Linked DNA regions of Oryctolagus cuniculus. The protein of the gene in region 3 purifies or fractionates together with the protein of the main gene of each other region. This does not show direct contact. Links are inferred from orthologs where the notes say so. Each region holds a gene or a part of one and is shown on either strand. Other genes may lie near its edges.

The links. Proteins that work in one complex are often made in the same cells at the same time.
Region 1: the proteins of RMND5A (region 3) and ARMC8 purify together in Homo sapiens (affinity purification with mass spectrometry; 5 studies listed by BioGRID and IntAct, counting the BioPlex papers as one, with this or other methods). This does not show direct contact. The link is inferred for Oryctolagus cuniculus from reciprocal best matches to the Homo sapiens genes RMND5A and ARMC8.
Region 2: the proteins of RMND5A (region 3) and RANBP9 purify together in Homo sapiens (affinity purification with mass spectrometry; 9 studies listed by BioGRID and IntAct, counting the BioPlex papers as one, with this or other methods). This does not show direct contact. The link is inferred for Oryctolagus cuniculus from reciprocal best matches to the Homo sapiens genes RMND5A and RANBP9.

Annotation. Positions count from the first base shown.
Region 1 is NC_091435.1:143,472,166-143,482,394, reverse strand, and holds part of ARMC8 (armadillo repeat-containing protein 8), read left to right. Parts: intron 1-1,583; coding exon 1,584-1,664; intron 1,665-3,966; coding exon 3,967-4,042; intron 4,043-4,136; coding exon 4,137-4,227; intron 4,228-6,622; coding exon 6,623-6,683; intron 6,684-8,572; coding exon 8,573-8,773; intron 8,774-10,229. UniProt on the Homo sapiens protein: Component of the CTLH E3 ubiquitin-protein ligase complex that selectively accepts ubiquitin from UBE2H and mediates ubiquitination and subsequent proteasomal degradation of the transcription factor HBP1.
Region 2 is NC_091436.1:156,999,722-157,009,950, forward strand, and holds part of RANBP9 (ran-binding protein 9), read left to right. Parts: intron 1-298; coding exon 299-411; intron 412-1,461; coding exon 1,462-1,570; intron 1,571-3,543; coding exon 3,544-3,734; intron 3,735-5,020; coding exon 5,021-5,165; intron 5,166-8,443; coding exon 8,444-8,565; intron 8,566-10,229. UniProt on the Homo sapiens protein: May act as scaffolding protein, and as adapter protein to couple membrane receptors to intracellular signaling pathways. Acts as a mediator of cell spreading and actin cytoskeleton rearrangement.
Region 3 is NC_091433.1:116,044,480-116,054,808, reverse strand, and holds the start of RMND5A (E3 ubiquitin-protein transferase RMND5A), read left to right. Parts: upstream 1-3,762; 5' UTR 3,763-4,377; coding exon 4,378-4,519; intron 4,520-10,329.

The sequences.
Region 1 (10,229 bases), on a different chromosome or scaffold from region 3:
AGCCATCTGAGAAGTGAACCAGCAGAAGGAAGATATCTCTCTCTCTTTCTCTCCCTCTCTCTCTTTCTGTCTTGCCCCCTCCATAACTTTTTGAAATAATAAGAAATTAAAAGTTAGAAAACATGGAAATTGAGAGATTTCTAACTTTTTTTGTTTTAAGGAACATTTCTCATGCATAGTATATAAAATGTATAGGAGATTGTTAACTAAAAAATAGATTAACTAAAAAAATGGCTGTTTTGTTATTCAGAAGCCTGGATGCTCATCTCCCCACTTAAGTGATGGGGATTTGGACTCTAGAAATAGAGTAAGCATTTGCGCAAAAGTTGTTGTCTGGCTAAATAATGAGTTGGCGAGACCTGTTTGACAGTGCTTTTTCTGGACTAGCAACTGGTTTCCTCTGCAAACCCAGCAGAGAGCCCACCTTTTGGTTTTGTTTTTCTCTTTTAAACAATGAGCACAAAACACCTTCCTTGTCTTGGCTTAATTGACCTTTCATTAATTCATGGGGTGAAGTGGAGCATAAAATGAATGAATAAGAATTGTGGCTTTGCAGTAACTGTTAGCTTCTGCCACTTTGAAGATCTTTAGTAGAAAACAGAGTAGATGAAAAATAAATTTTTTTTCTTCTCCCTTTACATTTCTACTCTGGGAAATGATAATTTTAAAAATGATAAAAGAGAAGAAATATAGGAACCAAAATACTGTTAACTTCTCCATTATGGAGTGTTGTGTTGCCCAACATGACGTTACTGAGATGTCCCAAGTGTGCTGAGGTAGACTAGGCTCTGACTCAGTTCCTCTTGCAGTTAGTTTTAGGGTTCTCCTTGACTGTCTCATCAGTACTAAGATGTAAGAATAACTGTGCCAACCATGAGCACATAAAATGCAGGCTTCATAGAGGCCTTGGATGCTGTGCTACTGTGTATTTAGTGTATTTAACAACCACAAAGAGCTAGTGCCAAGGATAGCTTCTTCTCTTTTCTTCAGAGGCATAGGAGGTAGCAATTCTAGAACTGGGATGAAGTGTGATGTGGCAGCTATTTGTAGGACTAAAATCAGTGTCTACCCCACTTTTTAGGATTGAGTAATAGAAGCAAAAGGTAACTCATAATTCTACACTGGAGTAAATGTAGCTTTCTACTTTTAAGTAAATATAGGTTTGGGGCTGGTGCTGTGGCGCAACGAGTTAATGCCCAGGCCCAAAGTGCTGGCATCCCATATGGGCACCGGTTCGAGACCCGGCTGCTCCACTACCAGTCCAGCTCTCTGCTATGGCCTGGGAAAGCAGAAGATGGCCTAAGTCTTTGAGCCTCTGCACCCACATGGGAGACCTGGAAGAGGCTTCTGGCTCCTGGCTTCAGATCGGCGCAGCTCCAGCCGTTGCAGCCAGTTGAGGAGTGACCCAGCAGATGGAAGACCTACCTACCCCCACCTCCTCTCTCTGACTCTCTGCTTGTCCTCTCTCTGTGTAACTCTGACTTTCAAATAAATAAATAAATCTTTAAAAAAAAAAGTAAATATAGTTTTATTGAAGTTAATCGTTATTCTTCCTAATGTATTGTTGTATTCTTTTCCTACAGGGGCCAGATCATCAAACAATTTTATTTAATCATGGTGCAGTTCAGAATATTGCTCACCTACTAACCTCACTATCCTACAAGGTGAGATGTTAAAAATATGGCCAAATAATTCTTTGTTTTCTAAAAAGAGGCCCATATATATGAGTTTTTATCACTTCTTTACTAGAGCTTATGACCAAGAGTAGTAGTTTATCAGTAAAACGTTATGGGACATTATTTTACCAATAGAATGCTCTTTTAGGAAATAAATTGCTCTTGCATGTCCATTTTTTAGCATATGGTTGTGTATGAATTGCTTTTGATTTTAGCTATTTTACAGTGTTTCTGATTAGATAGCAGTGCTGCAGCTACATTTGAAATAATACCTTTAAGTGTGTAGATGCAATGACCTGCTGTATCAGGAAAAACATATTTTTGGATTTCATATTTAAAATCTTTATCTAGCCACAGTGACTCAAACCCACAGATTATACCCACATACACATCAATATTTAAAATGTTTTTTTATTTTTATTTATTTATTTATTTTTTGACAGGCAGAGTGGACAGTGAGAGAGAGAGAGAGAGACAGGCAGAAAGGTCTTCCTTTACCATTGGTTCACCCTCCAATGGCCGCTGCGGCTGGCGTGCTGCTGCCGGCACACCGTGCTGATCCGAAGCCGGGAGCCAGATGCCTCTCCTGGTCTCCCATGCGGGTGCAGGGCCCAAGCACTTGGGCCATCCTCCACTGCACTCCCAGGCCACAGCAGAGAGCTGGCCTGGAAGAGGGGCAACCGGGACAGAATCTGGCGCCCCAACCAGGACTAGAACCCGGTGTGCCGGTGCCGCAAGGTGGAGGATTAGCCTATTGAGCTGCGGCACCAGCCTTAAAATGTTTTTAAAATGTGTTCTTATATTTTTATTTGAAAAGTCAAAGAATTTTCAGACTTTATAAAAAGTAAACATAATGTTATCAGTCATTGAGTTAAAATTTTAAGCATTCATTGTTGTCTAGTTAGAATGTTGTAGCAAATATTGGAACATTGTCTTTATTATATCACATTAGATTTGGGTATGGCAGAAGTTACCTGTAGATCAGGGAAGCAGTCATTTTTATTTTCTGTGTATTTGCACTGATGATCCTCAACTATTGTTCTTTTTATGCTTAACTTTATTTCAAATAGAACCTGCTCATATGTATGTTTTCCCTGTCTTAGACATCCAGAATTTAGTCTTGGTAATAGGTTCATAAGGATAGGAATGGGTGGAGCCAGCTTGAAACTATCCAGAGGCAGGGAAAGAAAATTACTGAGAGCTGCTGCTTCTCTCTGCTACACAGAGGATAAAACCAGTTAGCCCTTGCACATCAAAAAGCAGTCGTGTGGTCGGCTATTTATTGTCCCTTTACTTGTCCATACTCCAGCTTCCTTAATTCTCCCTGCTCTCCTTCCATCCCCCCCCCCCCCCCCCCCCCCGCGCTTTAGACTTCCTTATCTACTCTAATAACTTGAAACTTACAAGTTGTAGAAGGGACAGTGTCTGGTAACGCTGCTCTTCGGCTAGGATTGTTCCACCGCTATGGTGTCATTAACATGCTCTCATTTCTGCCTGTGGTCTGTGCCAGTCCTGCAGAGCATTCCCCAGGAGAGGGAGTGTGCTGCTTCACTCCCCTGCTGCTTGTCTGGGGAGTGCCTGCCAGCCCCAGGTTCTACATGAGAACAGTGCCTGTAGACTCTGGCTTTGGAAGTGAGGATGAGATCATGTGGTAAAAAATGAATGGAAAGAATAAAAAATAAGAGTTCTCATAGGAGCCCCTGCAAACAATAAAATGTGTTTATGTGATCAGGAAACAAGGCCCTTGATAGTATTCCAAACCAGTAACCTAGTTTTAAGAAAGGGTAACATAATTGCTAGGTGTTCTATTGGTAAATTAATTTAGTCCTTTTCAAACTTTTGTTGTAACATTGTTTCCTCTGCCTTGTTTTTTTTTGTCCCCATCTCCATCTCATATACCTGCTCTAGTTTTGCCTTCCCTTCAGTCTTGTAATTAGGAAGGAAGCAATGTCCCACTTGAAAGGCTCTTGGTAATTTTTTGAAGTTCCCTTTGTCTTACAACGCTGTATTTTGTACAGTGTTCTTACAGGTTTGATTAGGGACTTATCTAGTTCAGTTTTAATTGCTGCTGCTTCCTCATTATTGTTCTATTACTTCAAAATTGATTTTAATTTTTCTATAATTAATTCTGACTTTCACAGTACTCTTCAAATCATGCAAATATTATTGCCATTCCTTTGAGGCTTCCTTTTAGTATTTTAAGCAGATTTAAATAGTTATTTTTTCAGGAGAAGAGTTTAGATTCTGAGCCATTAAAATAAATGCACTATTTGTTCTTTGATTTTTACAGGTTCGAATGCAAGCACTGAAATGCTTCTCCGTTTTAGCTTTTGAAAACCCCCAGGTATCGATGACCCTGGTGAATGGTAGGCTGAAACTTTCAGTACATCTATAAAATTTAATTTATGAACTTTATGAATTTAAATAAGTTTCTTAATCCTTTTGTTTGTTTGCTTCTAGTTTTGGTTGATGGAGAATTATTGCCACAGATTTTTGTGAAGATGTTACAGAGGGATAAGCCTATTGAGATGCAGCTCACATCGGCAAAATGGTAAAAGTCAAGACAATGTGGGAGAAAAGTGCTTTATCCATCTCTTAGAGTATTTTTGGACAGTTTCAGTCCCTCTTGCTTTGGGATTTTGAAAATTGAAAGTCATGCCACATTTTGCTAAATGAAAGTCATTTTTAAAATTTTATTTGAAAGGCAGAGAAACAGAGATAGGCAGAGAGATCTTCTGTCCACTGGTTCACTCCCCAGGACTGAGCCAGGTGGAGGAAGCCAGGGGCCTGGAACTCAGTCCACATCTCTAGTGTGAGGAGAGGAAGCCAAGTATTTGGGCCATCACCTGCTGCCTTCCAGGGAGTGCAGTAGCAGGAATCAAGCAGAGCCAGGACTAGAGAACCCAGGCACTCAAATACTGGGATGCAGGTATCTCAAGTGGCGTCTTAACCACTGTGCCAAATGCCACTTTAGAGGTCAGTTTTTAACATTCAGTTTATTACTCATAGTATGCAGGACAGGAACTCTCATATATATCGAAGACCCATCTACAGAAAATTACTTTAATGTCCTTCCCTGTCTTTGTATTTCAGTTGAGATGATACAAAATTGAAATAGATACAATTAATGCACATTATCCTAGTATCAAACCACAAAAATGAAAATATAGACAAATGTAGAGAGAATTAATTAAAGATGATAACCAGGGAGTGATTTTTTTAAAAATTAATTAATTTATTTGAAAGGCAGAGGCAGAGAGAGAGATAAAGAGAGGTCTTCTATCCCCTGCTTTATTCCCCAAATGGCTGCAATGGCCAGAGCTGCACCGATCTGGAGCCAGGAGCTTCTTCCGGGTCTCCCATGTGGGTGCAGGGGCCCAAGCACTTGGGCCATCTTCTTCTGCTTTCCCAGGCCATAGCAGAGAGCTGGATTAGAAGTGGAGCAGCCAGGACTCTAACCGGCACCCATATGGGATTCTGGCACTGCAGGCAGTAGCTTTACCTGATATGCCACAGCGTTGGCCCCAATGGGACATGGGGGATGATTTCTGAGAAGGAGACTTTTTTTATCTCTTAAAAGAACAGCAAACAGAATCTTAGATATGTGATATTTTGTATGATAATAGTGTAAAATTAGCATAATTCCTATCTCATGTAAGCATCCAGTGTGTGTTCATTCTGCAATTACCAATAGAGGTAATTACGGGTATGTTGAGCATATGTATGGTTCTATGCTAAGTGAAGCTGTGGCTCTTTAATAGAGAATTAGGATTTTCAGTGAATTACTCATGAAAAGTAACAGCTACAAAGATTTCAACCTTCTACAAAATAAGTATAAAAGAATTTTCCTGATTTGTGTATAGTTTTCTCTAAAAGCCAAACATAGAATGTTTTACTTTTTGCCCTGGGACTGCCTTCTACTGGTTTATTTCCCAAATACCCATAATGCCCAAGGCAGGGCCTAAAGCCAGGAGCCAGAGAAGTCAATCCAGGTCTTCCATGTGGGTGTCAGGAACCCAGTTATTTGAGCCATGATCACTGCCTCTCAGGGTCTGCATTAGTAGAAAACTGACGTCATGAGTCAGAGACTGGCATCAAACTTAGGCACTTATGAGTATCTTAACCAATAGGCTAAATACCCATTCCAGAATAATTAGTTTTTGATGAATAGTTGTGTTACAAGTTAAGTGGGTCTTTTGTGCTACTTCTACTGTATTGGAGTTAGACTATCTCAACTTCATTTATAAACTGAGATGTTTTGTTAACTTTTTAATATTTCCTCCTCTTTTATTATAGAAAATTTAAAACAAAATAACAGAGAAAAACATAACTCACATGTACTTAGCACAGTTTCAAAATGTCTGCACTTATTAGGCCGTCTATTTTTAAAACAATTTGGTAGGTTTTTTTGTTTGTTTTTAGTATCTGGCTTACTATCTATATGTGTGTGGTTTTGCTTCAGTTATTAAATTGAACCTCAGGTAAAGGAAGGTCAAAATGTCTCTCAAGATACATGGTAGTAGGGACCAACATTGTGACACAGTGGGTGACGCTGCTGCATACGACACCAGCAAACCATGTGAGTGCCAGTCTGTCCAGCTGCTCCGTTTCTGATCCAGCTCCCTGATAATGGCCTGGGAAAAGCAGCAGAGGATGGAACTGTTTTGGCCCCTGCTACCCAAGTGGGAGACCTGAAAGAAGCTCCTGGCTTCAGCCTGGTCTAGTGCTGGCCATAGGGACCATCTTGGGAGTGTACCAGCAGATCAAGATTCTCTCTCCCTCTCTCTCTGTAACTGACTTTCAAATTAATAAATAAATCTTTTTTAAAAAATGATAGTACTTGTTTTTTTGTGTTTTATTTTTCATAAAATCTCAAAGGCAAATAATTTTTCTTTTTAAAACTTTAAAGCCAAAGGTAAAACTTACTTTTTGCCATCTTATTCCAGTTTAACTTACATGTGTAGAGCAGGAGCAATTCGGACAGATGACAGCTGTATTGTGTTAAAGGTAAGCTAATGAAGTCTCCCTGGAAACATGGGAATTACAGTTCTATAAGTATTGAGTATGTATAATAGCATTCTCACTTTTTATGTATTTATCATTATAGATGTGTACATGGCATAAAATGTGCTTGCTTTACAGTTTTTAAAAGTTAATTTTCGATGTGTTTTTCAATAGTAAAGCAAAATGATTTGTTTCTTATCACAACTTTTTCATTTTATGATAATTAGAAAACGGAAATCTGAAAGTATATGAAATTCAAGTGAAGTAGAAAATATATTATAATCTATAATTTTCATTATGTTTGAAGTGCAGTTTTGTAGGCACTTTACTAGCTCTACATATGAAGACTATGTCACTCTCAGAGCCAGTGGTGAGACTTAATAGATAGACTTGAAAACTATTATTATTATTATTGTGGTATGTCAGATGCTGTCTAAACTGAGAAAACCTGGAGAAGAGACCAGTCGTAAACGTCCTGAGACCAGGATTCTGGTTTTAGCACTGCCACCACTGACCTGCTTGATGCCCAATTCTTTTGGTGGCTCCAGATTCTTCATTATGAAAATGTGGGCAGTAATTCCTGCTCAGCTATCCCCTAGGGTTATAATAAGGATAACTATAAATTAAATAATTTACATTAAGATGTCTCATAGCTATAAAGAACAAAACAAGTATAAATGCATTGATCTTGTGTCATTTTATGAATGTGAGTTAAGGTAAAAGATAAGAGAGCCTTGAGAAGATCACTTCAGTCTCTGATAGAGTCAGTTCATTTAATGAGATTTAAGGAATTCCCTAAATAAGCAGCTCTGCATTGAGTGTTAACGTCTTTCATACAAGTGAGCCTGGCTTATTTACTTCTTTAGCCCTCCTTTCTTCCTCGTTGGTAAAATGGGTTGGTAGTATCTTCTTTATGATGTACTTGAGGGCAGTACATTCAGTAAAACATGAATTTATGGTGTTGATAATTATTAGTAACTAGGAATGTTAGGACCAAGAGAGTAGGACCTCCCCCTTCAAAGCTAAGATTGAGTTGTAAAACCTGAACTAGCCTAATAGGAAATCAATAGTGAGAAATAAAGTTTAAATTTTGTGGTAGAGATTATGGTGGTAGTTGAGGAAAGCTTCCTGTTGTAAAATTTTAATATCTACTTCCACATTATTCCTTAAAGCCTTAAAAATAGTAAATACATGAGATGTTGTTATTCAGAAACTAATATAGATAAATTACCAGGACTAGTGCCAAGATGTTTGAAGGACCTCAGGAGAGAAATTGGATTATTGGATACCGTAATCACTCCAGCAAGTTCTTTGAAAAACCTAGCAGCTGTGATCAATGCATGTCACTCACATTTTAGAATAACATGTGGAATATGAGAAATGGTAAAAGTACTGAATTGTTAAAGCTGTGTTTTGTTTTTGCAACTATAGATACTAATTCTCAAACTAAAAAAGTCATCCCAACCATATTACTCACTAAGGAAAAGATTCCATACTTTTTGGGCAAAATCATTCCTGGTTCAATTGCTGGATCTCTTTTAGGTAAATAAACACAAAGATGGGGCAGAACCATCAGATATGATCTGTTAGGGATTCTTAAATGTCTTTTAAAAGGTTGTTCGATAAGGTGCAATCTGAACTGATCACAAAAGCCTAACTAAGAGATTCTGTTCATATAGTTGAATGTATGAGTCGTTTAGAGTGCTAGCACAGATGATTAATCTGTACTGAATTTTGTTTTTGCTTTTTGAAAAATCTTTTATTATTGAGAATCAATAGAAGAAATACAAACATGACTCCCAGTGAAAGCCATTGAGTTGATTCAGTCTTAATATACTCTTCAAGATTCTACCTTTACCAGAAAGCAAATAACTGATCTCACTGCCTTTCAGACATTGCCTTGTTTGGTTCGAATGTGCAGTAAGGAGAGATTGCTAGAGGAGAGAGTTGAAGGAGCTGAAACACTCGCCTATCTGATTGAGCCAGATGTTGAGCTGCAGAGAATCGCTAGCATAACTGACCACCTCATTGCCATGCTTGCTGATTATTTCAAGTATCCCAGCTCAGTGAGTGCCATCACTGATATTAAAAGGGTATGTTTGCTTTTCCTTTTCAGTAGTTCAAGAGGATTTTTAATAAGTTTTTCTTACTGCTCACAACTTTGAACCAATTGATCATTACAGCTCAAAAACATTTTAAATAGAGGAGTCATTTATCTTTGGTTACATGGATTACATTGCTTTGTGAGTTTTTTAATTCAAATATGTTTAATATATTTATAGTTGGGAATTTTTTTACTAAGCAGATAAGCAGGAAAGAAGAAAATAGTAAACTTAACTCCCAGCTTAAACCCTCCAAATAGCACAGTCTTTAAGCTGGGTATTGAAATTATATCAACATCATCTAATCCTATTCAAGGTCACAGAATCATTTTTCTGTTGATGTATTCTCATGCTTTATGTTAAGGGTAATCTTTTTTTTTTTTTTTTTTTAATTTGTTAATTTGAAAGACGACTCCCAGCTGCTGGTTCACTCCCCTGTATGTCCACAATAGCCAGGGTTGAATCAGGCCAAGGTCAGGAGCCTGAAACTCAATCCAGGTCTCCCATACCAGTGGCAGAGACTCAATTACTTGAGCCATAAACAGCTGCCTCCCAAGGTGTTCATAAGCAGGAAACTGGAATGGAAAGCAGGCTAGTTCTCTAACTCAGGCACTCCCAAGGTACTTGGGCATCTCAGCCAGTGGCTCAGCATCTGTAATCTTCTGTTACAGGTGGTGACTGAGTGACCTTATTTTACTCTCCATCAAAAAAATTTTTTTTCAATCTATTCCTGTCTTCTTTATTGAGTTTCATAGTATTACCATTTAAACTCTGGGTTAGGACTGTCAATGATTAAATTATGCTTTTTCTTTTAAGATTTATTTATTTATTTGAAAAGAGTTACACACAGAGAGAAGGAGAGGCGGGGGGTGAGGGGGAGGGTCTTCCATCCGCTGGTTCACTCCCCAGTTGGCCGCAACTGCCGGAGCTATGCCAGTCCACAGCCAGGAGCCAGGAGCTTCTTCCGGGTCTCCCACTCAGGTGCAGGGACCCAAGGGCTTGGGCCATCTTCCACTGCTTTACCAGGCATAGCAGAGAGCTGGATAGGGTGTGGAGCACCTGGGACTCCAACTGGTGCCCATTTGGGATGCTGGCACTGCGGTGGCAGCTTTACCTGCTATGCCACAGCATCGGCTCCTAAATTATGGTTTTTGAAAATTTAGCTTTCTTAGAGCAGGTCGATGTTCCTTTCAACTTCTTGCTGCTTAGCCTGTTTGCTTCTGAATTCTGAGTTTCAAAATTCTCATTCTGAAGGCAGTTGTTCATTTGGCGTTTAATGTTGAAGAGAAAACAGACTATTAAGGAAATGTCTCTTCTGTTAGAAGGGACCTAAAAATCACCTTCGTTGATGTTTGCATTAATTGGGTACACTTCTGTGTACTAAAGTTGTGTCTGCACTTCCCCGGATAGTGTTGTTGTTGTAGTAGAGATGATAAGTTACATTGAA
Region 2 (10,229 bases), on a different chromosome or scaffold from region 3:
TTGAATAGTAAGATGGGAAATAAATAGGCAGGGACCTTGAGATCACAGAAGGGTCTTTAGAGCACCTGTTTCTCTGGTAATATGGTAGTTAGAATTATTGTTACTCTCTGTTTTGAAAATACCACATGATGAACAAAATGATTTCTTCCCACTTTGTATTTGAGGTTCTTGAAGTCTTAACCATTTCAAGAAAGTGCATTGGTTTTGTCACACCAAATTAGTCTGTGTCCATATAGATCATAGAATGAAGTGTGTATTCTGTTGACTAAAAGACGTGTGTTTCTTCTTTTATGTTAAGAATGGTTTCGTCCTATCTAGTCCACCATGGGTACTGTGCCACAGCAGAGGCCTTTGCCAGATCTACAGACCAGACTGTTCTAGAAGAATTAGCTTCCATTAAGAACAGACAAAGTAAGGACCCTGGTGCATGGCTAACAATTGTTTGCAGATTATAGGTTTTCTTTAATTTTTAGAAGTTTTATTTTTTTAAATTTGGAAATGTTCAGATGTATTGATTTCAGAGAATGCCTCTACAATTTACTTTCATTGACATTTTAAAAGATTGTTTTTTAAATTCACGTAGGACTAAGTTATAAATGTGGAGAGAAATTTTGGAGAAATGTCATTATAGTATTTTTCTTAAAGGCTTAAGCTATCAGAAAATCAACACTTAATAAAAAGGGTTTGGGTGAAGAGTAAAGTCATCCTGGTTGAAGAATGCAGATAATGTGTGAAAGAGATTAGATATCTTCAGATTTAAATTACTGATCACAGAGTATTTATTGTAGGTTCTAGTGCTGGCCTTTGTAGCCAAAGCTGGAAGGCCTGTTGTAGCAAGGGCGAGTCTGCGTGATGCCTGGCCCAGAGTGACTCATCCTGAATCCGTGCTGTGAGCCCATGAGGGTGGGTGTCACTTGACAGAGGTGTAGGGGTGGGTGAAATCATGATGGCTGGAAGACAGCTTGTTACTGGGTCAGATTGCTCTAATAGCATTGATCACATCGTTTTGTAGCTAATTGCGTACTTGTCTTTCTCACTACCTTAACGTGCTCTGTGGAACAGAGGTGGTCACTTACTCATTTGTAGCCTCACCATCTAATTTAACAAACATCTGACACACAGTGAGTGCTCCAGGGGTGTCAAGTTGAGATCTTCCTAGAAGAATTAGAAATGTACTGGATTTATTGTTTGAAACCTTAGTGTTGCTTATTAGCTGTGTTTCCTGTGTTATTTGTATGTTTGTGATTTAAAAAAAAAATGGTTTGTGGTACTTGTTAGAATTTTTTAAATACACCTGAAATTTTTCCAGATTTCCTAATGAAATCTATGATTTTAGAAAAAGAAATAGAAATTAAATCCAGTAATTTATGTTGAAGTTTTTTTACTGACTCATATTTTCTGAGGATCTACTAAGTTTGTTTCTACTTTTATGAAAGTTAATTTTTTGCTTTTTCTGAATAGGAATTCAGAAATTGGTGTTAGCAGGAAGAATGGGAGAAGCCATTGAAACGACACAACAGTTGTACCCAAGTTTACTTGAAAGAAATCCTAATCTCCTTTTCACATTAAAGTGAGTTCAATAAAATATTTATTGTATGTGTGTCTTATTACATAGATGTTATAATTAAAGTCACTTTGATGGCTTCATAGCTTATAATTCTACCTTGGTTCAGATATTTACAGAGTTGTGACGTAGCGCATGTGACTGTCAGGTTGTAACAGAAGGGGAAGTGGTAAGAACAGTAAGCAGAAGGCATCCTGTGCTGGGTGTGACCTGGAACTGTACCCCAGAGCAGAACTCCCCATCCCCCTCTCCTCAGCCCTTGACAAGCACATTCCACTTTGTGTCTCTAAATTGGACAATTCTAGGTGGCTCATGTGAGTAGAATCATACCTTGTGTGTCATTTTGTGTGCTTGTTCACTTAGGGTAGTGTCCTCAACACATCCATGGTGTGGATGTGTCAGAATTTCCTTCTGTTTAAAAAGGCTTGATGGCCGGCGCTGCGGCTCACTAGGCTAATCCTCCGCCTTGCGGCGCCGGCATCCCGGGTTCTAGTCCCGGTCGGGGTGCCGGATTCTGTCCCGATTGCCCCTCTTCCAGGCCAGCTCTCTGCTGTGGCCAGGGAGTGCAGTGGAGGATGGCCCAAGTGCTTGGGCCCTGCACCCCATGGGAGACCAGGAGAAGCACCTGGCTCCTGGCTTTGGATCAGCGCGGTGCGCCGGCCGTGGCGGCCATGGGAGGGTGAACCAATGGCAAAAGGAAGACCTTTCTCTCTGTCTCTCTCTCTCACTGTCCACTCTGCCTGCCAAAAAAAAAAAAAAAAAAAAAAAAAAAGGCTGGGTAACAGTCCGCTGTACGTATATGCTGGGTTTGGTTCGGTCTTCGTCCTTTGACGGATGACAACTTGTATCCCTTCTGCCTTCTGCCTCTTGGCTCTCGTGACTGTTCTGCTGTGAGCGTGCTGGGTGCAACGCCCGTGGCAGCCCTGCTTTCAGTTCCGGTGTGTGCTCGGAAGAGGCGGCGCTGGGGCTCCTGGTGACGTTCTCACTGTGAGGAGCTGCCCCAGTGTTTTCCTCAGCGCTGCAGCGGTTTAGCTTCCGCCCGCCACGCGCCGGAGCTCCAGTTTCTCCATATCCTCGCCAACGCTTGGCTGCGTTTTTGTGGGTTTTTTGGTAATAGTCAACCCATTGTGGCATTTTTTTATTGATTGACTGAATCTTTGTTTTTAATCATGTTAATTGAGCTTCAAATTTCAACTCAGAAATTCTTGTAATTCATAACAGAACTGTCTGGTTTAAATGAGTACGTTTACATGAGTTCAGTCATTTTGGTTGAGATTGGGAATGGGAATGGGGTGAGGAAGAGTGAGAAGGCGGTGCTGTGTGGATGTAGTGTGCAGGAAATCGTCCTCTTAGGCATTGGTTGATTTGCTAACACCCGCCCCTCCCCTCACACACTTTTTTTTTAAATTTGAGAGGTTGAGAGGCAGAGAGCAGACGAGCTCCCTATCTGCTGGTTTATTCCCCAAATGCTTGCGCTGGCCCCAGGTGGGAGCCAGGAACACAACTCGGGTCTCCCACATGGGTGGCAGGGACCCAGCTGCTCCTCATCACAGCTGCCTGCCTCCCCGGAAGCTGTTTTGGGAACTGGGGCTGGAACTCAGACCGCGGCGCTCTGTTGGGGGGTACCGGGATCTTCACCGCTAGACTAGCTGTCTGCTCCACAGATAATGTTGTGTTTGTCACTTTTAGGCAAGAAATGGATCTGTTTTAATTTTATTATAGATATGGGTAGATTTTAACTTTCTTGAAAGGTTTTTATTAAAACTTCATTAAAGGAGATGATATTACTCTCTCTTGCATTATGTTCAGGCATTTTTTCTGGAAAATTTTAAACAGTCTAATATGAGTTTTAACTTGTTATCTAATGACCAAACTTATTGACAGTACAGATGTTTTCAGTACTTTGAGAAATCTGTTGTTAATGAATAAACTAAAGGCCATTGGAAGATTATGTCTGAGTGAGTTTCTTTCTCTTTCAGAGTGCGTCAGTTTATAGAAATGGTGAATGGCACGGATAGTGAAGTACGGTGTTTGGGAGGCCGAAGTCCAAAATCTCAAGACAGTTACCCTGTCAGTCCTCGACCCTTTAGTAGTCCAAGTGTGAGCCCCAACCACGGAATGAATATCCACAGTTTAGCATCAGGCAAAGGAAGTACTGCACATTTTTCTGGTGAGATTGAATCTTACAATGTTCCCTTTAAATTTTTACCTTTTATTATTTTGAACCAACGTTGTGTTTTTTTCTGACATTTTTTGTGTAGCTGTTTTGCATTTGTGTGTGCTTGATCTCAAGAAGTTGTAGGTGAAGACCTGAAGGTTCAGACTCATGTGTTCCCAGTACCAGGAATTCACTTAAGAGACAGCTCTTTCTGAGAATAGCTTATTAGCAGATCTTCATAACGAGGGCGACGCTCCGAGTGAGTTGTCCCTACACGGAATCCTGCGTGCTGCGTCATGCGAAGGCAGTCTTGGGTTTTATGAACGTTCACACGTGCAGGTGACCCGCCTGTGATTCGGGTCATTCCCTGCCACTGAACCAGAGCCGGCTGGCAGCTTCTCAGCCTCTCCGGGCTCTCCCCACCCAGACTGTTGCGGGTCTGCCCCGCGCCCTGTCCATTATCTCCTGGTTTCTTTCACTCCATCAGTCTTGCTTTTTGTGGCTTTCGATGTCCTCTTAATTAAAACGTTCTCGTTCCGTGGCTTCCGTGAGACCCCTTGTGCAGGTTTATTCTGATCCTTCTCAGTTTCCTTTCTCCTCGCGTGGCTGTTCCATTCTGGGTTTGCTCTGTACTGTTCATTTGCTGAAGCAAGTCAGACTTTTTTCTCCCAGTCGGTAGGGTACACACACCAGCAGCCTGCATGCTGAGGGTGATTCCCGTGCCTGTGTGCTTAGCTGCACCCATCTGGAATAGCTAGCGTGCGCTCACTTCAGGCTGGGGGGAATTCCGAGCCCCCGTGTGTTCCTATGTAAAATGAGCATGGTGGCGACAAGTCACATGTCACAGACCTGCCGTCAAGACGGAGGGTAGATGCAGCGGTGGCCCCTAAGACCGTGACGGAGCTGAGACGGTGCCATGAAGTGTTTGTGCTGCACCTTTGCCGCGCTCAGACACACACACGCCTAACTTTGTGTTACACTTGCTACAGGGTTCAGGATGATAACGTTTCCATGTTTGCTCAGAACGTATCCCTGTCATTAAGAGACACAGGACTGCTGCCCTCAGAGGGCCACTGTGAAGATTAAATGCGATCCATAATTAAGTCTTCAATAAATGTTAGAGGAGGTAATAATTACAGTTCACAATTCAGTGCTCTAGTGTCTTCTCGAAGACGTAATCTGTTTGCTATTTGAGTTGTCTAGTGCCTCTGACATTTTGAAAGTCTGAAATGAAAAACCAGAATATGAGGAAATTATCTAGTCTTTTTTTCTATGTAATATTTTTCTCATTTTTTCAGGTTTTGAAAGTTGTAGTAATGGTGTCCTATCAAATAAAGCACATCAGTCGTATTGCCACAGTAAACACCAGTCATCCAGTTTGAATGTCCCGGAACTGAACAGTATAAATATGTCAAGGTCACAACAACTTAATAACTTCACCAGGTACGTGACTTCCCCTGCTCTTGCATCCTAGCTTTGGTGTCGTCATTGTTCATAATTCAGAATGGATCTCAATCCTGTGATCTAGACTTGGGGTCTGGGAGTTCCCAAGCTCCTAGAGAACATGAAGGGCAGGGACTCCGTTCCCCAGAGCGGTCAGTCTTCCAGGTGCTCCTCCTCCTTCCTCTGCCGCCCTCTTAAGCTGTAAGGACAAATCAAGGGCTCTCTGCCTCGTCTTCCCGCCAACCGCAGATCTGTATAGGTGGTCGCCAGTGCCGTTTGTTGTTTTCAAGTTCAGCGTGCTGATTCACACCTATTTAACCTCTAGTGTTAACGGTTTTTTGATGTATAGAATGCGCTGAATTCAGAATCACTTCACGGAGAACCCTTTCAGAAAGCGTGTCATTCCGTAGCTTGCGTGATGGCACGTGACTGGGCTGTCGAGCAGCCTTTAGCATGAGGAGAGTGAGGACCTGCTGCCTGCCAGGAGCTTGGAGAGCAGATCCGTCTCAGTGTGCTCTGGGCCCTGACAGACTCGGGCTTAGGACTCATGAAGCCTGGAAGTCCGTGACGTGTCGTCATTTAAATTGAACCCTCCTGTGCAAGAGAAGGTCTCCATTCGGCTGGCGCAGTCAGCCAGCCTCTGAGTCAGTTTGACCCTGTAAGATGAACCAGTGGTCACACAGCATTCTCGGGGAGTGTTTCAGTGTGCCGTTTTCTCACTGAAGTATAAATAACCTAACTTTTAGTGTGGAATTGTTTTTAAGATTTCTTTATTTATTTGAAATACAGAGTTGCAGAGAGAAAAGGAGTAAAAGAGAAAGAGATCTTCCACCTGCTGTTTCACACCTGAAATGGTGGCAACTGCCAAGGCTAGGCCAGGTCGAAGCCAGGAGCCTGGAACTCATCTGGGTCTCCCATGTGGCTGGCAGGGTCCCAAACACGTGGGCCATCTTCTGCTGCCGTCCCAGGTGCATTAGCAGAGAGCTGGATCGGAAGAGCAGCAGCCGGGACTTGCGCGGCATATGGCATGCTGTGCCCCAGCCCTGACCCCTCAGTGTGGAATTTTAGTGGAAGGATGATTCTACAGAAAGGAGTCTGTGCAAAAACAATCCAGATTTGAAAATTTAGAGACTATTCAAGATTTCTGGGTTATCAATCACACATGACAAAAATTTACAAAAGGAATGGGTTCCACTGGAGTGCCACAGGAGGAGCCTGGGACAGCGTGAAAAGAGACTCATTTTTACTGGGGAGGTCAGTGTTACCTTTCACAGTAGAGCTGACATTGGGAAATGTGACATTAAAATCTGTAGTAAAAAACTAGGAGTGTGAACATTAGAAGTTAGTCTCTGTACTTTATAGTTGGCACTTTACCATTGATAGTGGATTCTACCCTTGTTTGATGTGAGGAATGCCCTCAATTTGTGAATTCTCTCTTGCTGCTATGGCAGAAAGTTGCTCCATAAATCTGTGATTACCAGGCCTAACAGGAGTTGATGACATAGCAGCCTCCCTGTGCCAGGACAGAAGGGGAAGGAGTCAGCTTTGGAACTGGGAAATGGTGACAGTTGTTTCGTAGCTGGTAGTGGCTTTCATTGCCGTGTCGTGTATTGTGAAGCAGGCGAAGGTGGGATTAACTGCTGAAACCATTTTACAGATGTGGAGCTGAATACCAGAAAACAAATGGCATTTTTTAAAGTTGAGTCATTAGTAGGTCATTGAGTTGCAGAGCTGGGATTTCTTCCCAGGATTTCTGACTTGCAAACCTGTGCATTTTCCCTTGTACTTCCACCATCTGAAATGCTCTTCTCACCTCCATCGTCACCTCTGTTTAAACTGCAAAACTCCAGTTCAGGTGTCACCTCTTCCAGAACATTCTCCTCGACTTTACACCCTCCAAACGTGGTATCACTCCTTGCGATTGACTCTGAACGCAGTCCTGATCAGATTATGCTGCGATAAAATGTGGCTTTCTGTAGCTGTTTGTGCCAGAGGGCAGGGGGTTTCACAAATTCCTCACCTGACCTAGAGCTCTGAGATGTGTGTTGAATGAGTGAATATCTCACAAATATAAAACAGAATTGTCCGATAAAAAGGGTTGGGAGCTTACTACCTTATTAAAACCACTGAAAGCCATGATGATAAGGATTTATCATTAAATTAAGCATTCTTTTTAAAGTTTTTCTTATGAATTGTCAACGTTTGTCGAGATATTTAATGAGCTCTTCTGACTAGGTCTGGTGTGGAGCACCAGGGCCCTCGCCGCCTCCTGCCCAGATCTCTACATCTGTTTATCTTAAAGATTTTACCAACAGGAGCACATGCATGCACGCAGCCCATATGCACACCCTTATCCCAAGATGTCAACTAGTGGTTATATCTGTATCACTTTTTTAAAAAACAAATTTATATTCTTTGTAACAAGAAAGCTTGTTTTATTTAAACAATTCTGAAATTTTCATAATTGTTTACGTCTGGGTTGTGTGCTCATTGCCTAGTTCATTGGAGGAAATGAGAAAGATTAGGTGTTTATTGTTCCTTAAAAGAGTGTGTGGATGGTTTGGAAGGACTCACATGGAAAAGAGGTCCAGACAGAGCAGGTGGCAGACTGATCCTCCTCCTCAGTGCGCAGTGAGTGAAGAGTGGAGGTGACGCGAGGCGACCCGCGCTGAGCATCACCTCCAGGGCCCTATGAGGGGCAGGTGTTGCGTGCTGAGGTGGGGGAGAGGCTGAGGCCGCGGCAGTGCTGAAGCGTGTGTACTGGGAGAGAAGGTATGCTTGGAAGTAGTGAGCACAAGTGCCAGCGTGGGAAGACTTTAAGAAAAAAAAAGGTCCAGACACAGGTTGAAATGAAGGCAGGGAGGAGGTGAGGTGGGCTTCAGGAGTGAGATCTGTTTGTGTTTAGGAGTGAGATTTGACACTTAGGTGTTGGGGGAGGGCGAGGCTGGCCCAACAGGCTCTGGGGCGGCAGTCCTGATAGTTAGCAGGGATAGGCCTGTTGTGCCAGAGTGTTCCCTCTCCTGTTGGTGTCAAGTCAAAAACCACCACACAGTTAGCGCGTGTCTTCCTCCTTAGCTCCAGGAGGTGCAGGCTTGGTAAGCGTCGGCTGTGGATCTGGCTTTGAGTACACTTGAGATGTAACTACATACCTTTTTTGCAGATTGCTATTGCCTTGTGAAGTTAGTTTATACGTAGGTTAAGTAGTTGAGAAGTAATTTGTCTTACACCAAGCTGCAAGTATGATCTTTCTAAAACTAGGTTTGTTTTTTCATTTTCAGTAATGATGTAGACATGGAAACAGATCACTACTCCAATGGAGTTGGAGAGACTTCATCCAATGGTTTCCTAAATGGTAGCTCTAAACATGACCACGAAATGGAAGATTGTGACACCGAAATGGGTCTGCAGTGATATTTCTTACATTTTTAATAAAAATGATGGCTACAAGGTTATGTTTTTACTTGTACTGATGAGCATAAACCAAATTTAGTGATGTGTGTGCAGTAGTGTTGACAGTAATACATATTACTGGAACTCTCTCAGCTAGAGAGAGTAGTTATTTTTGAATTTCTTCTGAAGTCAAGTGCCAGTTTTCTTTGTTGAATTGGCTGTTCAGGCTTAATTTTAGGGTTATGCTTAATGAAGCTGTACTAATCACTGTTGAGCCTTAAGGGTTTTAAGGTCAGAGATAAATTTGTTACACTTACTTCAATATAGTCAGTAAGGCCAAGTGGGTCAAATGATTTTGCAAATTCAAAATTACTAAACTTTTTGTTAAATTCTAGTTAAATTGTTAAACAGTTCCTAACTCGTTCACTGCAAACATGAGTGACTGCCCAGTACTGTGTGTGGTATATTAGGTGCTGACGTATGACCTCCCCCAGCAGAGAAAAAATACACAGGACTCAGAGATAGACTAGCATGCAAACTTGTATTTTGTAGACAAATTATGTAGTAAACTGCGCCTTAAAGTCTTTCAGCAAACTTCCAGAAAATAATGAAAATTTATTGAAACCTACAAATTGCTTGTTGGAATTCCATGAAAATATGAATTTCTTGGCATTTTGAAATTAAAAGGTGTTTATTTACCAAAATTATTTGAAAAGCAGCCTCACCTCATTTTTCAGTGAGAGATCAGCAACTTCGGCTTCTTCAGGGCAGTTTAAGCGGAGTCATCGAGAGCAGGAGCTCTAGAGCAGATGACCTGCAGTGGTGTCTGCAACTCCACTTACTAGCTCTGTGACCTTGGACAGATCACTTAACCTGATCTGTGCCTCAGCATCTTCATCTGTAAAATGGGTATAATAACTGCCTCTTAGGTCACTGTGCAGGGTGAATCCGTGTGTTAACCTGTGGAAAGCAAACAAGCACAGTGTCAGCCGCCGTCATCTTCACAGCAGGGAGTTGTGTTACTCTGGATTTCCACTCACACTGCTGAGCAGTGACGTGATAGTTGTCACTCAAGATGTATAGCACAATTCTTTTCTAAAACCAGGATAGTTATTTTGATTATTATAATGTGTTATAATAATCTGTGTTTCTATTGGAATCATTTAGCCTCTCTTAGCTTCCAGGAACACTTTACTCCACCTCTGTTATATGTCAGTTAAAACAGCCTGAGAGGCAGTTACTACCTTCTCTCTTTTTCTTTGTTAATTTTGCTTAGTGTGGTTTTATTTTTTAATTTTTATTTTAAGATTTACTTATTTACTTGAGAGGCAGAGTTATAGAGAGAGGGAGAGACAGAGAGGTTTTCTATCCTCTGGTCCACTTCCCCAAATGGCCATAATGGCTGGAGCTGAGCCGATCTGAAGCCAGGAGCTTCCTCCAGATCTCCCACGTGGGTGCAGGGGCCCAAGCACCTGGGCCATCCTCCGCTGCTTTCCTAGACCACGAGCAGGGAGCTGGATCAGAAGAGGAGCAGCCGGGATTCGAGCTGGCAGCATACAGATGGATGCCTAGCCTACCATGGCACAGCGCCGGCCCCTCTTCATGTGGTTTTAGAGACTGGCCCCTGCCTCTTGGTGACACTCGTGAGACACTGGGTCCATCCTGACACTGCAC
Region 3 (10,329 bases):
TCCAGCCAGCAAACAGGCATTTAAATGGCAACATGCTCCAAAACACAGCACACAGGAGGTACAATGGTAAAGCACATTCAGAGCAACAGATTTTGGTGGTGGCCGTGCCTTCACCTGTTTCTTTGACATGGCAGAAGCAATATCCAAGGGTTGGTTTGTTTTTCAACAGAAAATAATGAAATTTTTTTAAATGAGAATATTTTTTCACAATTTAACATTTCTTAATAACATATCTTATCAGTTTATCCTTACTTTTATATTAGGCCTGAGTTAGAATAAAACTGGGTTGGGGGTTGGGGGCTGATGTTGTGGTACAGCAAGCTAAGGTGCTGCCTGCAGCGCTGGCATCCCATATCAGTGCAGGTTCAAGACCCAGATGCTCCGCTTCCATAGCTCCCCGCTAATGTGCCTGGGAAAGCAGATCATGGCCCAAGCACTTGGGCGGCTGCCACTCAATGTGAGGCCCATGGAGACTCATAGAGTTCTTGGTTCCTGGCTTCAGCCTGGCCCAGCCCTAGCTGAAGTGGGCATTTGGGGAATGAACCAATGGGTCAAAGATCTCTTTCTTTCCCTCTTCAAATACATACATACATACATATATACATACTAAAAAAAGTTTAAAACCAGGAAATCACCAGCAGTTTTTTCCACAAGGTCTTTACAATTCTTGCTGATTTATTTTTCCAATAATTATTAGTGTGGTCTTTGTGACCCTAATCTGAGTGTATTTTGCATAAAAATATTTTTGACACAGTATTTCTTCTATCTCCTCTAACTGACAAATGAAATTTTGTTTTTCCTGCCTTGCCTGATTTCAGGCTTTGAAGAACAAATCAAAGCAGTTTTAAAAGCAATCTTTTTGGCAGAGGGTTAGGGAAAACAGTGGACTACATATTCACACAATAAATATAATGAGAGCTATACTTGGTAATAATGCACAATGACTATATGTGTGTGCACAGGAAAAGTTCTGGAAATTCACCCCAAGTGTTGAAACATTTTTTTACTGAGTTTTGGGGTTTCATGGAGCTTTTATTCTATTTATTTGTATTCTCTAATTTTCCTACAACAAATATGAATTTTGGCAAAAGGATAAAAGGTATTCTTTTCCTTTCTTTTTCATTAACATTTACTTAAATGCTAAAGACAATCAAATTTAGAATGGAGGAGAGAACGAGAGCAATGTTCAGAATAACGGCAAATTAGACTCTCCAGAATAAGCAGAATGTGGGGATGAGAGTTCATTTGATACTGGTGTGTGTGTAGGTGAACTCTTACTTTAGCTGCATAGTGAAAATACAAGCAGAAAAAAACAATTTGCAGTTGCCCTAAAAATGGAATTTCCCGGCCGGCGCCGCGGCTCACTAGGCTAATCCTCCGCCTAGCGGTGCCGGCACACCGGGTTCTAGTCCCGGTCGGGGCGCCGGATTCTGTCCCGGTTGCCCCTCTTCCAGGCCAGCTCTCTGCTGTGGCCAGGGAGTGCAGTGGAGGATGGCCCAGGTGCTTGGGCCCTGCACCCCATGGGAGACCAGGAGAAGTACCTGGCTCCTGCCTTCGGATCAGCGCGGTGCGCCGGCCGCGGCGGCCATTGGAGGGTGAACCAACCGCAAGGGAAGACCTTTCTCTCTGTCTCTCTCTCTCACTGTCCACTCTGCCTGTCAAAAAAAAAAAAAAAAAAAAAGGAATTTTCCCCCCCTTGTTTCTAGAGATCCTTCACTGAGGATTAAAGGTTTAGGCTTAAAGCAACCACACACCGCATAGGAAGGGCCGTACAAAGTCAACAGAACATCAGAGTTTCTTCCAAGTACTATTTTTTCTCCTCTTGGCTAAAGCTGAAGCCTCTTCTTCCCTAATTTGTTTATTCTCATTCCTTTAGCAAATACTCAGAACACATTTTTTCCTAGACTGATTAAATTATGGCAAAGAAAAAGGAGCCGGCCCAGATCTGGGAGCTAACAATCAACTTGGGTATACAAGGCAGTACTGCATAGGTGGGCCTAGGTTACAGAAAAGTGTCAATAGTTAAAGCAGGACTCACGCCGTGGGAACAAAGAGAGGCTCTGAAAAGCCGACAGTAACCAAAAGCATTTCAGGAGCACACAGGCGAAGGAGCTGTCCTCAGTCCCCAGGGGGAACGACAAGGAGCTTGGCAGGGAGGTGGCAGGTGGTGCTGGGACACTACACGGGGCGAAGCGCCCGGCCGAGGTAGGACCCGAAGCTGTAGGCAACCAGACACCGATCAGTGGACAGGAAACAATGGCTCTTACCTGTGCCGGGCATTATGTTCAGTTCCTCACAGGGGCTACTTCCTTCAGTGATGACAACTCCTTGAAGACAAAAAACAAAACGTGAGTGAGCTTAGCAAAGGGAGGAACAAGCATGGAAGAACGGAGGAAGAGAGACACATCGAGGGGGAAACTCAGCTCCCCTCACGGCCCTTAGGAAGGAAGAACGGGGGAGGGGGCAAGACCTGGGCACCTGGCCCCGGGTCCGAGGAAGCCCGCAGGCTCCAGGGGCTGTCTCGGAGAGGAAGCACTTTCGCTCCTTTGGGCGTCTGAGGTTCACAACAGCCATGGGAGACAGAAATACTGAGTGACGGAGATTCCTGGCGTTGGGTGTTTTTCTGTTAAACAGGGATCAGGGCCATCTGTTAAGAAAAGAGGGCAGAAGGCAGAAACGGGGTGGGTGGGGAGGAAGAGATGAGAATAGCATCAGCTGGATTACCCTAAGGCCGCCGGCCACCATCACCGGCCCATTGCAAGCACTTACGCGTATTATCTAGTCTAACTACCAATGACGTGCTATTAACTCCAATTATTAAAAAAAAAATAAAGGAAACTGAAACTCAAAAGGCTATTAAAAAAAAAGCCTTCACGGTTTTTCTGAAGTGGTGCAGACAACAAAGTCAAACAAATCCCAGCGGACGTTGCTAAGTGGCGCGAACATGACAAAGTCGTGACAGGACAGAGCCGCGCGGGAAGCCAAAGGCTGCGGGACTCCGCGCGGTCACGGGAGGCCCCGAAGACGAACCGGGCGCCGGAGTCCTCCGCCCGAGGCGGCGGCACGCGGCCGGCTGCGCTCGCTCGAGGCCGCAAAGGTCGGCGCCGCAGCTCGGGGCGTCAGGCGAGACAGGCCGAGGCCGGCGGCGCACAGCGGGCAGGGGCGTGCGGGGACGAAGCCGCCCTTCCGGCGGGCAGTCCAGCTCCCCGGCGCGTGCTCTCGTCCCCACCGGTCAGGAGAGGACAGGGCCCAGAGGTCGCCGCCCCGCGGGGTGTGGGGAGCGCGCCGGCGGGTACGCGCCGGGAGAACCGCCCCCGCCCGCCGCGCCTCTCCGCCCGGGCGGCCCGACTCCGCTTTCCTTCCGGGGAGATGGGCCCGTCTACTCAAAACTTCGGAGCGTCGGACCCACTTTTCCCTTCAAGGCTATAACAAGAACTGTGGCTGGGACGAGGCCCTACGGAAAACGACCGTTTTTATTTTCGTCCTATTCCCACACACACACACACACACATACATCCCAACCCCCTATGGCTTTCCGGAAACGATTGGCCTCACTCGCTCCTGTCTCCAAGTCTCCCCCTCCAACAGCGAGCCTATTGGTTTGGACCCCCGTCCTGGATTGGCTGAAGGCTTACGCCCCGGTCAGAGATTGGAGGAAGCTGACTTCTTACATAGTCCCCGAGCCCCATTGGCTGGTTTTCCTCGTTTCTGGGCGGGGTGGTTAGGAACGGTTTCCACCCCCTTGTTTACGGAGCGCGTAGTTGTAGCGCTCCCTGCGCGTAGGGGCTGTGTCTAAAGTTCTCTATTTAGCTCCTCAGACCAATTGGGTTCTTGCCTCGCCCTAGCCCTCGCCCTCGCTCTCGCCCGCTTGTCTGCGTGGTCCGGCCCACACCTTTATTAGCGGCGGCGTGAGCGGACACTCGTCGCGCTCCTCCGCCCACGCTCTCCAGGCTTATTCTCCCTCCCCCGAGGGTGCGCTTGGTACGGCCCGCGCCGCCTCTCTCCCTAGCTGGGGTGGCTGATCCCCCCCCCCCGCAGTCGGCGGCGCTTGGTGTCGCCCGGGAGAACCAGGTCATCGGTCGGTTCCCGTGAAAACAAAAACAATCGGCGGCGCCGCCGCGGGCAGCCGAACGCGGCGAGCGGCGGTCCGAGCGGGCGAGCGGGCGGCAGCGGCGGCGGCGACGCGCCTGGGGGACCCGGGGGCCATGGGGCAGGCGGGCGCGGGCTGCGCGGGGCTCCCCCGGCGCCGCGGCTAGCGCGCCCGCCGTCTCGGCCGCCTGCCTGGGGGACGAGGAGCGGGACGCGGCCTCGGCGGGGCCCGGGCCGGACGGCTGCGGACTGCCAGGCGCCGGCGAGCCGAGCGCCGCCGCCTCCGGCATGGATCAGTGCGTGACGGTGGAGCGCGAGCTGGAGAAGGTGCTGCACAAGTTCTCCGGCTACGGGCAGCTGTGCGAGCGCGGCCTGGAGGAGCTCATCGACTACACGGGTGGCCTCAAGCACGAGATCCTGCAGAGCCACGGTAGGGCGGCGCGGGTGGGCGCGCGGGGCAGGGCCCAGCCAGCCTCGCGGCGGAGCCCCTCACCCACCCTCAGGCTCAGGCCCGGCCCGGCTGCGGGGGGCGCAGGGATGCCCAGCACCGGGACTTTGCTGCTCTTGTTTCTCGGTTCACCTCGACTCTGCCGCGACCCCGGAATGAGAGCCGGGTCGGGCGGGCTGGAAGCGTGGGTGGGCGGCCTCCGCCGCACCTGCAAACTGCCGGGCTCCCCCGGCCCCCGGCCCCGGGGGGCTCACGTGGCCGCGCGGGCTGTCCCCGAGAGTCCGAGGGACTGGGGGGTCGGTATGGGAAGCCCCTTGGTCTACCGGACCCAGATCTTTGGCCGCGGCACTTTTCTTTCCTGGCCTTTTTTAGGGGGTGGGGGGTGGGAGCAGGGGAGTCGAGCGTTATTCTTGGCGGTGGGTTACTGGGACAGCCGCTCCGGCGACTTCCGACTCTGCCGCCCTCCGGTGCAGCCTCTCCCGAGGCCCAGGGAGCAGGCGCACGGTGGAGTGGGGAGCTGCCCGCGTTGCCGGCTCGGGTTTGTACAGTTCGGCTCCGTGCTGTGTCTAGATGATTGATTGCACTGTGACCCCAGGCCCCATGGGGACGCCTGGTTTGCCAGAGCTAACTTTTGGAAGCTGGTCTGGAAGGGGCTTGGGGTTTTGGTTTTACCAGGAGCGTTAACGGCCTGGTGTCCTTCGACGCGGAGAGTCGCAGGGCTGATTCTTGCTGATGGAGAAGGGAAGGGCTGGCTATTGAATGGGCTTGCTCGGGAGGCTGGGGAGCGGCCCTCTCCCCCGAGCAGGGCTGGGAGGGGGCAGAAAGGCAGGTATTTGTGGCAGGTGAGACCAGGGCGGTGAGGAAGCCCCGGCTTCCCTCCTCTGCGTTCTTCTACGCCTCCCTTTCCCAGGCTTGAGTTTCAGTGGAGGGAGAGTCCTCGGCTTCTCACTGTGGACACAGCAGTCATTTTTGAAGTCCAGGAAAGAAGCAGCCCTGCAACCGTAGTGATTAAAATATTAATATGGAAAAGACCGTAGCAAGAGTTCCAGTTCTGCTGTGGAAACCCAAGCAGGCCTTGGTGGCCGCCTTGGTGGTGATGGTCGAGTTGGCAGGAATGGGGAAGCCAGGCGGCGTGGCGTGGCAATCAGGGGGTCCCGAGTCTGCCCGCTGAAGTTGAAGGGCTTCACAAAGGCAAGTCAGAGGCTTGGGAGATGTGCAGGTCCAAGACTCTCCTGATGTCCCTAAGAGGAGGGAGGAAGGTGGCGGGGTCTGAGCCTCACCTTGGACTCTCCTTGGAGAGTGGAGGGTCAAGGCAGAGCGTGCGCGGGTTTGGGCACTGGGGGTCAGTGGGCCTCCGTGCGTGGAGTTTGGTAGAGCCGGGTCAGCGGAGGTTCAGTGGAGGAAGCATGTGTACACTGAAGTGTTCCTCTCTGCCAGGCTGGTGGGAGGCCCCTCCCAGAGGAAGTGTGGTTCTTGTTACGGGCTGAAAGGGAGGAACCAGCGGAGGAAGAGAATGAATGAAGCGCCTGGACTCAGAGGTGCCGGTGGGAGATGAAGTGTTAGACCGGAAATGATGGGAGACGAAGACCCTGGGTTCCGGGAAGAGGGAGCTGTTAGTGGAAGCAGAAGTGACTGTGAACTTGGTTTTAGGTGATCTCGGGTCAGTCCCAGGTGGATAAAGTGATAATGAAGAATTCGCTTTAGACAGCTTTGCTTGCTCCTGGGGACCTGAGAGTTGGTGGGGTGTGGGGTGTGAGCTGCTTGCATGCCATGCTGTTGAGTTCTGTTTCTTTCCATGGTCAGCCGTTTTTTTTTTTTTTTTTTTTAACCCTCTTGTCTTCCAAATTGCCTGTCTTGTGTTGGTATCTCTGATTTCCTTTAATTCTGTAAGAATAGGTTTGATTAAAGGTCATTCTAAAATGTTAAAACAAATGCCTCAGATACTAGGTCTGGTTTCTAAAATAAAATCTAACTTTTGGTGTTCTTTTGTGAGATGACAGCATGCTTTGGTATCTGGGTTATGGTATTTTTCAAAGCAGATCGTTTCTGAATTAAAGTTCTCTGCAGGCAAGGGTGGTGGCTACCACCTTCAGCCTTATATGTACCCTCCTCAGAGGTGTCTGTGCTGAAGACCGATTTTGGAATTCCATGTTCAAGTTTAAAAGGACAGTTGCAGGGTGTCCGAACGTCTCTGTCTGGGCAGGTGGTCTGGTGGGCTCCTCTGACCTGAGGAAGGGTCCCTGGTTGGGACCCTCCTTGCAGGAATTGTGTGATGTAAATCAAGCAGAACCCTGGGGGTTTTGCAGATCCCAGATCCCCCAGGATCCTCTCTAGGACCTCATCCTGCTGAGGGGCTGTGGGTTTCAGAAAGATCCTTCAGTGGGGGCGAGGGGATCGCTTCGGTTTCTGAGAGAATGAATTGTGTATTCTTCTATTTAGATGTTTGCCCCTCTAAAGTTGTGAGCGCTGTGATAAGCATGTTAGGATAGTTTGGAGGGAGGATGGGAGCATTATCTTCCACTCTTATTCCCTGTAGAAAACACGGGCCAGTGGGGTCCAACTGGCCTGGAGACAGTCCTGCAGTGAACCCCGACACTTCTCAGTCGCTCTAAGTCATCTCTCTGTAGCCTGGAATCCTTTCATGTAAAATTTCTCCAAATCCTTTAGGGGAATGAGGATGTAGGGTGGTTACCTAACACCTGGTGGGGTGGTTTGTGCTCCATGGGGTAAAGGCCTGCGGCAGAGGAGTAATACTGGAGTATTATGGCTCTGAGAGGGAAGGGCAGGCTTTGGGGAGGGAGTGTTGCTTTCCAGGGTATTTGCAGTAGGGCTAACAGAAGTCTGAGAAGCAGGAAAAGGCAGTAAAGCGATACAGAGCTCCAGAGAAGAGTCAAGAGGAGCCCTGCTGGGGCCTGATCACTCCTCTTCCTGGAACCCCCGCCAGGGCCTTCTCTTGCCTTGTGGCTGCCTTAGGAGGATGGACTGATCCAGAGCCTGGCCCGTAGTAGCAGGGATGGAGAACTGTTCATGGCATGCAGAGGGTTTGCTGAGATATTGCTGTGGGACGGCAGTGTGGTATACCCTGTAAAAACATTTTTACACTTATTTGTTTGAAAGGCTTACATACACAGAGATTCATCTTCCACCCACTGATTCATTCCCCAGAATTGCCTACAGTAGCCAGGGCAGAATCAGGCTGATGCCAGAAGCTCAAAATTCAGGGACCCAAGTACTTGAGCCATCACCTGTAGCCTCCCAGGGTGTGACTTGCAGGAAGCTGCAGCTGGACTCAGAACTGGGACCAGCACCCAGCACTCCGATATGGGATGTGGGCATCCCAGACAGTGTCTCAGCACTGCACCAAATCCCATCCCCAGTGTGCCATTTTAAAACCTGACTTGCATTCTGGAATTGTATTGAGCTTTGAGTCTTAATTGTTTTTATTGAACTTTGGGTTCTTTTAATGTCTCCAGCTCTGAGGGGAGAGAATACTTTTGTCATTTAGTTGTACCAGTCTTCCAAGAAGCAGAGTTTCCTTTTGAGCATGAAGTCTGGTTTAATTTAAGATTCAATAGGGTTGAGACTGGGTGTGATGGTTGCTAGTGTGCCCCTGATTTAATTTGGATAGTGCACTGGTGCTTCTCAAGCGCCACTCACACATGTACATGGATTAATGGTTTTGTTTTAGTAGACTTATTCTCTCTCTGGGAAGGACCTTTGTGGAGTTATAAATTTGGTTTGCTTAGTTACAGTAAACTAGTAATAACCTCATAGCTAAATAACTATTGAGATGATAGTTCGTTACCAGATTTGATCATCGTTCACAGCAGTGATATGGGAACCTCACTTTGTGTGGTGACGGTTTGGTGATCTGACTTATTTGTATGTTTTTCAGCATTTTCTTTCTATTGAGAAAATGTTTGTTTTTTGGTTCCAACTAGGGGTTCTGGCAGGGGTAACAAATGCATTGTATATTATGTGTTGCTGAATTGATACTTGGTAAAAGGTTAGGCTGAAACAATTTAATAATGGTTTCAGAACATGCTTTAAAGTATGCTTTGGAAGATACAGAGAAAGATTTGCAAGATCATTTTAGACATTAAAGGTAGTTCCAAAGAAGTTTCTGAAAGTGACTTTCAAGGAATTTCCTAAGTTTAAAATGTATCTATTTTGAGTGAATGGCTCATTCAGAAGATGAAGTTCATTAGTGAAGTCTCCCTCCCACTCTTGTTCCTGGACCATCTCATTGCCCATCTCCCAAAGATGCCAAAGATTTCAACAGTTTGCACCCACACAGACGCACAAAGTATAAAGTACTGTTTGAAGACAAGTTTTACCATTAATTCTCATAGTACAGCTCATTAAGGGCAGAAGTCCTACATGGGGAGCAAGTGCACAGTGACTCCTTTTGTTGATTTAACAATTGACACTCTTATTTATGACATCAGCTTCTTCCTGGTCTTACATGTGGGTGCAGGGGCCCAAGGGCTTGGGCCATCTTCTACTGCTTTCCCAGGCCACAGCAGAGAGCTGGATCGGCCGGGACTCGAATCATTGCTTCAGGCTGCGGCTTTCACCTGCCACAGCGCCCACCAGGCCCCAACAATACACTCTTGAGAGAATAATGACTTTGAGTTTTGAATTGAATACAACTTGATATCTACATTTAACATCTAGTCTGGAAGGTAGAAAATAAGTAGGTCATAAATAAAAGTTTGGGTGGAGGACAGTAGCCATTGTTGAGATATTCTAAGGAGAATGGACTGGGCTATTTTAGGTGGTAGAACTCATTTAAGTCAATGTTTCCAGGTAGGTTTAGAAGCAGATCTAACTTTGGTAGCCATTTCTTTCCAGCTCATTTAGGAAGGAATTCTTTGTAATTTGGCCTTTCTTTGTTTAGACTGTTACATTATTCAGTATTCTTTTGGTTGCAGGTGACACAGTAGCTTTTTTTTTTTTTTACAGTAAAGTTTAATCACAAAAGTGTAGCATTGGATTTATGCTGTTAGCATACATTCAGTCCAGCCCAACACGCAGGGCCCACCTCCTACCATCCTGGCTCTGCTGAGCGGGAGCCTGCAGACAGCTGGGTGGGAGGGGACCCTTCAGGGTCCTGCAGGAACAGAGACACAGAGGTTTTCATTTGAGTGGAATTTGTTGACAGTGACTAAATAGGCTGAGGTTCTGCCAGGCTGGCTCCAGGGACAGAAGGGGTATCATTAGGACTGGCAGTTCTTTACATGGTTAGCTCCATTCTCAATGAGTGGAAGTGGAGATGGCCAGTGGGGCTCAAAAATGAGTATGTGGGTACTCTCCTGCATTTCCAACAAGACTCCTAAGGAGTATCTCCGCTATCCTGTATTGGGTCGGTCCTGTGCCTTTACCTCACTTGGTGGCTGAGGCTAGGGTATGGGGTCTTCTGAGCACTTTGAGCTATGCTGACCCCGTGCCAGGACAGAGATGACCATATGACCCATCCACCCTTCATCAGGTAGCGGAGAGAGTTCTAGAAAGGGACATTTGCTCCCAGACAGAAGCAATACATATCTGTTATAATGAACAGCTGTACACTACATCATTAACAATGTACTCTGAGGTATTTTTGTGCCTAGCTCAGACTTTTCTCAGCTTGTGTCTTGCATCCTAACTCTATGTTCATACAATTAAAAAAAAACTGAGTTCTTAATCTGAGTTTATCTGTAGAGTGGTGAAAGTAGCTTGGGTCCTGTTACTTTGGGAAGTTACTTGAAATGGCTTTAATGCTTGGCATAATAAAATCATTTTCCTTAGAG